Linked DNA regions of Tamandua tetradactyla. The protein of the gene in region 1 purifies or fractionates together with the protein of each later gene. This does not show direct contact. Links are inferred from orthologs where the notes say so. Each region holds a gene or a part of one and is shown in the gene's direction. Other genes may lie near its edges.

The links.
Region 2: the proteins of RAB11FIP1 (region 1) and RAB11B purify together in Homo sapiens (affinity purification with mass spectrometry; 3 studies listed by BioGRID and IntAct, counting the BioPlex papers as one, with this or other methods). This does not show direct contact. The link is inferred for Tamandua tetradactyla from reciprocal best matches to the Homo sapiens genes RAB11FIP1 and RAB11B.

The regions. Positions count from the first base shown.
Region 1 is NC_135352.1:5,477,951-5,481,858, forward strand, and holds the start of RAB11FIP1 (rab11 family-interacting protein 1), read left to right. Parts: upstream 1-1,438; 5' UTR 1,439-1,516; coding exon 1,517-1,887; intron 1,888-1,997; exon of another isoform or gene 1,998-2,223; intron 2,224-2,768; exon of another isoform or gene 2,769-3,908. UniProt on the Homo sapiens protein: A Rab11 effector protein involved in the endosomal recycling process. Also involved in controlling membrane trafficking along the phagocytic pathway and in phagocytosis. Interaction with RAB14 may function in the process of neurite formation.
Region 2 is NC_135337.1:84,847,909-84,851,816, forward strand, and holds the start of RAB11B (ras-related protein Rab-11B), read left to right. Parts: upstream 1-1,267; 5' UTR 1,268-1,403; coding exon 1,404-1,443; intron 1,444-3,908. UniProt on the Homo sapiens protein: The small GTPases Rab are key regulators of intracellular membrane trafficking, from the formation of transport vesicles to their fusion with membranes.

The DNA.
Region 1 (3,908 bases):
CTCTGTGAAGACTGTGGGGTTCTGGTCTGAGGCTGGCTGCTGGGGAACCTTGGCCCTTGGATTTTCTGTCACAGGGCAATGCCCAGGAAGGTGTTTTTCTCCTTTCTCTTCTGGGTTCCTTTGACTTTTGGCTTCTTCCCATGACGTCTCTCTGTCTGAATGTCACTCTGTTTATAAAGGTGTCAAATAATCTGGGTTAAAGTCCAACCTGATTGAGTTGAGGCCACACCTGAACTGAAGGAAACTTCAGGAGATCCCATCTACAATGGGTTCACACCCACCAGGATGACAACCAAGAACATGTTCACACTGCGGTACACAGTTCAGTCCGCCAACGGTGTGAAGCATTGCCGCAGGGTGAAAAGAAGGCTAGAGGAGCGATGTGCAGTGTGGATCAGAGGGTCACGCACCTGGACACCAGCTGGGCAACCAGCAGTAGTCCAAGATCGGGTTCCGGAAGAAGCCAAGGGTGCAATTAGAACATCAGACCAGGAGTTCAGAGACCTGGGTTCCAGTCCTGGATCTGCTGTGGGCTCTTGACCAAGTCCCTTCTCTGTTCTGGGCCTTTCTTTAGATGTGACCTTCACAAACTGACAAGGACAGTTGACCCTGTAAACTGGGACTGGAAATGAAGGCAAGCTGCCATGCTAATGGACATTTGGAAGAATGAAGTGGCTTACTGGGTGCCCAGAGATAAAGAGGAGGGAGGGACAAAAGAGGGCTCCTCCAGGAGAAACGGGGAACCTGGGGAAGTCCCTGGGGTCCTATACTTTGGCAATCCCATTTTCAGTTCCTTCTTTTTTTCCTTTCCCCAGTTTGGCCTCGCCTTATTTGGTAAGGGTAGGGCAAAATGGGACACTCCCACCCGGACATCATCACCCCCTCCCCCCCGTACCTTCCTCTTTTCAGATTTGCAAAGGATCTTCCTCCTTTCCCGTCCACCTGACACCATTTCTGCACCCAACTTCCTCGCCTTCCTTCTCATCTTCATGGTTACCAGGCACTGTGCTAAGAACGTTAATTCATTTTTTTTTTTTTTTTTAGATAATTGTGATTTCATTTTACAGACGAAGGTACTGAGACTTAAAAATGCTAAGTGATCTGCACCGGGTCACTAGCCTACCAAACGACGCTGAGGGGATTAGAAATTAGGTCGGACTCCCAAGTCACGGTTTTGGCAAGGTCCTGTTCGGCCGTGCGACCCTCGGCATCCCGGCAACGCATCGCTCACCCACCGCCTCCCAGACCGGAATTCTGGAAGGCTCAGCCCCTTCCCACGCATTCTCCTGGCTCCCGCCCTCCCCCCGGCATTCCGGGTGCACTGAGCTGCGTGCGCGCCGGAGGCGGGGCGGGAGCGCCGGCAGGTGGGGCGGGGTCCCGACAGGGGAAGGCGGGCCCCGGCGGGGGCGTGGCCGGAAGCTTTAAAGAGGCCCGTAGGGTCGCCCGGGCGCGCCGGAGAGGCTGTGGGGCAGGGTTATCTCCTCTTCGTCCGGGGGTGGGCGGCGGGTCGGTCACCATGTCCCTGGCGGCTTCTGCGGGCCGGGGCCCGGGGGTCGTGTGGTCCCCAACCCACGTGCAGGTGACGGTGCTGCAGGCGCGGGGCCTGCGGGCCAAGGGGCCGGGGGGCACGAGCGACGCGTACGCTGTGATCCAGGTAGGCAAGGAGAAGTACGCCACCTCGGTGTCGGAGCGCAGCCTGGGCGCGCCCGTGTGGCGCGAGGAGGCCACCTTCGAGCTGCCGCCGCTGCTGTCCGCCGGGCCCGCGGCCGCCGCCACCCTGCAGCTCACCGTGCTGCACCGCGCGCTGCTCGGCCTCGACAAGTTCCTGGGCCGCGCGGAGGTGGACCTGCGGGAGCTGCACCGCGACCAGGGCCGCAGGAAGACCCAGTGAGTGCGCGCCGAGGGAGGGGAGCTGAGTGGAGGCAAGGGGCCGGCGGGGGAAGGGGCGGATCTTTGCGGGGGAGGGGGGACGTGTGGCCTCGGCGCTGGGATCCGTTTAGAGCTAGCGTGGCGATCACGGCCTTTTGCGTTCCCGGGGGACTGGTGAGGTGACTCTTCGAGGCGGGCCCCTCGATAAATAACAGTGCTCTCAGTAGCTTCGAGTCCTCGGCTGTTGCGCCCCAGCCCTCGCAGCCTTTGAGCTCTTGGAAACCTGGGGCGGCACCTGGGGCGTTTTGTAACCCGTGGAACGCCACTCCGTGCCTGGCACATAGTAAGCACTTGGTGGGTTTTTGATGAATTGAAAATGTCTGTGGGCAGGGGAGTTTCTCTTATTAATGATAGTGTGTGTGTGTTTACTACATACATTAATGTACGTGGCAGATGCCCTCGCTGGACCGGACACCTGGAGCTGAGATTGGACGGGCCAGGGCGCAGCGAGGGTTAACCGGAGTGAGACCCGCCGCCTCCTGGCCCCCCAAGCTAACCCAGGGACCCAGTGAGAGCATTACAGTGGGGGGTGAGGGGGAGAGGGCGGGGGCGGGGAATGCAGGCCGTCCTATGACAATTACCCCCATTCTCCAAAAAGTTGGTGAGGAGAATTCAGCTCTCCAAAAAGAAGGTTAGAATAATTTGGGCTTTCTTTTGTGGTTGCAAATATTAGCAGTTTGCCCTGGACGCTAGATCAGCCATAATTTCCCGATGATGGCCAGAGCCAGGGTCAGTCTTAGCCAAGCCAGCTGGGAAGTAGGCGTGGCTTTCTTTTGGAGTTTGCTAGGCCCCTCGCTCTGGGCCACTCTTGGGTGGGTGGGGAGGGGGTGCGGGGGTGTGTGTGTGACTGCTCATCTGTACTTCCCCAGTCGAGGGTTCAGGGTCAGGGTATCTCCTTTCCTCCCGGAAGGAGGCAAAAACTAATTCACCCCATGGTGACAAATTTGTTCTCTTTCACAGGTGCTGGGAAAGGATAATGCTTAACCCCAGGGAACAATTGATAGCTATGCTCTGGTATACCAGACGTAAGCCTTGTTTAGTTTACATCGGTACTTTGCTGGATCTTCTAGAATATAAGCCAGTCGTATCTTACCCCCTAAACCCTACCATTTATGAAGCACGCTGAGTCACCTTGTGCCTTTTAGATATGCATGATATTTTAACTTTCTCTTGGGAGGGTTTGAAGTTGGCAGGCTCCCTTGTCCAGAGGGTGAGTCCAGTTTCAGCATGCATGCTTGCAAAGAATATACCCAATTTGCCTGACTGACCCAACGATGCTTTTCTGGACTCAAATCGGATAAAATAGAGAGCCTCGATGTGCAGACGGATTGGAGGATCTCTTGTCATCAATTTACCAGCTATAAGGGGAGCAGTGTCCAGGGCTGAAGCAGTGCTCATTTTCCACCTGATTAAATGACACTGGGGCCTTAGGTTGGCTTTCATTCCCGCTTCACCTGGGTGCTGTAGATATGTAGAAATTAACCTCCAAATCTGCCGTCTGTTTGCCATGGAGTATTTTATGCCCTTGAAAGATAGACTGCATCTCCCTGCCAGAGATGGGAATTCCAGATTCCTGTGTCCGGTACCTGCTTTGATCCTGACTCATTGTTGGGCTTCAGGCTGCTTGGTCTCTAAACACCCAAATTTCCCTATTCATAAGTGGAGCTTGTTGACGGGCTTAACGGATAGCTCAAGATGGTTCTGTATTAATGGAGCCATTGTGTAGATTCAGAAGGCTCTATAACTGCATTGTGAGGGAGGAAAACCTCTTTAAGCTCCATTTTTCAGAAAGGTTCAGCCTCTGCATCTTCATTTTTCTCGTTCTCTCTGATGTAATCCTAAACCTCGTTGGTTACTGCTGTCTCTATCATATGAGCTGATTACACTGAGTCACAGTATCGACTTGCAGAGAGGTGGTGCTTTGTTGATGGTTTTTTTATAACTGCAGAGGAAGGCTTCTTTGCTTCTCTACCATTAGG
Region 2 (3,908 bases), on another chromosome or scaffold:
TGCCCGTCATTATATTAAGGCCGCTATTTTCTTACCAACACTGTGTGACTAAATGCATACTCAATCTGCACATGTTCAATAGCAGATCACCCCTAATTACATCACCTGGGGCCAAAGTGCCCATTGTCCAAAACCCTGCTCACCTTTTCTCTAAAAAAAACTACCCAAATTACCACAGTTCAGGGAGAGATTTGGGGCCGTTAGGCTGTCTGCTCTCCTACTATGTGCACAACAATGAACTCTCTCCTTAAAACCCCTGGTGTCTCAGGAATTGATTATTGAGCGCCTTGGGCAGAAGAATCCATGGACTAAATTTATCTGTTAACATTCTGGCTTAGATTCTTCATCATTGAACAAACACTGAGCCTTGAGGATACCGCAGATACAATCCCTACCCTTACGGCATTCAAAGTCGGAGCCAGAGGACATAAACGAAACAGGCAAATGGATCAAAGGAGGAAGACAGGGCCACGGTGGCTCAGCAGGCAGAGTTCTCGTCTGCCATGCCGGAGACCCGGTTCCATTCCCAGTGCCTGCCCATATTAAAATCAAATTTAGAAAAAAAAGAAAAACGGAATGCATACTTGCACATCAGGTGGTAATAAATATTACGGAAACAAAATAAAACAAGTTAAGGACACAGAGAGGAAAGAAAGGCCTTGCTGCAGAATATCTGGTACCCACTAAGGATTCAGAAATACTAAATAACAAACACTTAAGGACACAAAGTCGACGGTTGATATACTATGGACGCTTTTAGGAAAATCTATTCATCCTCAAAAAGATTTCCAGAAGGTGAAAGTCTTCACTGTTTTGTGGAGGGAGGAATCCGAGGCGCAGGGTGAGAAGTAACGCGAGTCACCAACACAAGGATGGAAAATGCAACCGAGAAGCGACAAGCGCCCTCCAGACCGCCATCTAAGCAAAGAGGAGCGAGCGCTCCGCAAAGGCCGATGATGTCATCGGCACGCTGCGATCTGTAACGTAGCTTCTCCTGAACGTGGCCCCTTTTCCCTTCCCAGGCGGGTCCTCGGGTAGTCGGGTAGGGTCTGAATCAAGCCTCTCATTGGCTGCTCATTTCATCAATCCCCTTCGTTTCCCTAGTCTTCCGCCCCGCCTTTCCGAGTTCTGCTCTGATAGGCCGGCGCGGCCGTCACTTCAGAAAGATCCGCATTCCTTCCGCCTTTCTCCAGGAGACGGACGGTGAGGAGGGTGGCTCTCAGGCAGTGCCCACCCCGGAGGCTCTGCTTCCGCCTCTGATTGGCTGCTCCGGGTGTCGGTCGCTACGGCGCCCGCCGCTGTTTGGCCAGCCAGCCCCAGTTCAGCGCGGCGCCGGCTCCGCCCCCATCGGGTGTTTGTGGTGGGGCTGCGGAGTCGCCGATCCCGCCGGAAGCGCCAGGACAATGGGGACCCGGGACGATGAGTACGACTACCTATTCAAAGGTGCGGCCGCTGGGGCAGAGCCGGGCGAGGGCGAGGCGGTGGGCAGGCGCGGCGAGGCTGCGCTCCGGGCCTTTGGGCCCTGGCAGGGATCCGGGACTTGGAACCCGGGGGGAAGGCCGGGAAAGGCCAGGCTTCGTCAGCTTCGGGCCGGGGTGCACGGCTGTATGGAGCGGGCAGCCCCGAGAGGTCTGGGGACGCGGGGTGCGCCGGGGCGGGACCGAGACCTGAAGGAGGTGGGACAATCCGTTGGGGGCGGGGCCTCCGGGGGCGGGGCCGCCCCAGCATTTGGCGGGCCGGGCCGGGCTGAAGCGCCACTCGTGGTGGGGGCGGGGCCATTAGAGGCGGGGCTAGAGCCTGTGGGCGTGTCTCCGTGGGCGGGAGGGGCCAGGCCTGGGTGGGGGCGGGGTCCAGGGTCAGCGCCCTTGGGGGCGCACAATGGGAGGTTGGGTCGAGGTGAGGGTCCCTCGGGAGGTGTGTGGTGCGAGGGGGAGCCTGGACTGGGGTGCGGACCCCTAATCGGGTGGAAGGGCTCCTGGAAGGGACCATGTCTGAACCCAGGCGTGGTGATTGAAAGCAAGAACTAAATGAAACGCTTGATGGTATCAACCATGTACCTGCACTTCTCTAAGCACTTTACACGCAAGCGCTCACTTAAATCCTTACCTTGTGAGGTGAGTAGTATTCAGCCTCTGTTTTTACAGACTAGGAGACTGAGGCCCAGGGAAATAAAGGCCCAGCCAGAAAGTGTTGGAGCAAGACTTGAATCCAGGCCGGCTGTGGCCTTTATCATTTAGGGAGCATGTTTGGGGGCCTTGTGGCCAAGATCTGGGTGTTAAACCCTCTCTCTCCAACACTTGAGCACTGGTGTCCTGGACCTTGGCCGTCCTGCTGGTGGATCTTCCCTGCCTAAGGAACAGATGGCTACCAAGTAAGGCCCAGGCAAGGCTAGCAGCTTTTGCCGAACTGGGGCCAGCTGGAGAGCCTTTGCTTTACCCCTCGAGCTGGGAAGACTCCCTTCACATTATTAGAATCCCTGCTTTCTCTGCTGGGCAGGTTGGAGGATCACTGCCTTTGCAGTACCTTGCCTGCTGAGCTCGGCTTTGGCCAGGTTCTCTGCCATGCCTGCTGGACTCTCGGCTGGCAGTGGCCACCCTGGAGACCTAAACCCTGGGTCCATGCACTACACCTTTGCCCTGCTGCCTGGTGTGTCAGCACCTTGGGACCAGGGCTTTGGGAATATAAAGAGTAGGGTGGAGCTCTCCCTACCTAGGATATCCACATTAGTCAAAGGTTTCCGGGCTGAAGGAGAGCCTGTGTCAAGGCCCTGAGTCAGCCCACAGCACCATGGGCTCAGGGGGTTGCAAGCAGGCTGATGTGTCGCTGGCAGGGCACACCAAAACTCACGTGCCTCCCAAGCCTTGGGTTCTTGGAGACTTTGGTCCTCCTCCAGCTGGTTTCCCATCTTCACTCAAATCACCTTAGGGGGCTGCTCCCCTGCTCATAACTGAGCACCCGTCTGATGTGGCACTGCCAGGGCAGGGGGATTTCCCCCCCAGGTGCCACATCCTGGTTTCCATTGCCCTCCCTTGCTTGTCGGGCTGTCAGTTTATTGTCACCCTTTTGCTTTTATAAACAATCAGATACAAATCATCTACTTGCCCTTTGGATTATTTCCTTGAAGTGTGTTCCCAGAAGTACAGTTACTGGGTCAGGGGCAATAGAGCAGCTCTGCACTTCTCAGGACTCATCTATAGACTCAACTTCCTGGAAACACAGATCAGGTCTTACGGTAGCGGGCATACTGTGAGGGCCACCTGTCCCCTGTCCTCCTCTACTGACCCTGTTTACCTAAGCCAGTGGTAGCAAGCTGCTGAACTCGATCTAGGGTGGTAGCAGAAGTCTAACTCACAAAGTCAGCATTTCTGAAACTCTGTTCATCCAAGGTCTCACCTTCCAGCAATAAATATCTTTTCCTACTTTTCTTTAAATCCAATAAGTTTTTCACTAAGTTAGGTGTATTAGACAAGGAAGGAAGGAAGCAAACCAGCAAACAAACCACCACCATTACATCACTGCCACAGATATGGAGGAGGGGAAGGTAGAAATGTGAATATGTACACCCCCAGACCTGGGGGCCTGCTATTGAGGCTCAGGTCTGGGCCCACCTGCCAGAGAGACATAGAAAACACACCGGCCCTGAGCCCCCTCCTCTCCTCTCCTTGCAAGGGTCAGACCTGTTGACAAAAGCCAACTTTTTCAGGACCTCTGCTTGCAGGACCTCTGCTTGCAGCACCCTGGAGTCCCCTGCCCCCTAGGCCTTATTTGTCTCTCTCTGGATTAGCCCCTGGACCAGTGCAGCCATTCCTCTCTGCTCGGGACCCTGGGCTGCTCCTTGTTCCACTCTCCCACTGCCACCCTGTTCTGAGCAGCCACATCCCACAGTGACTCCCCCTGACCTCAACAGC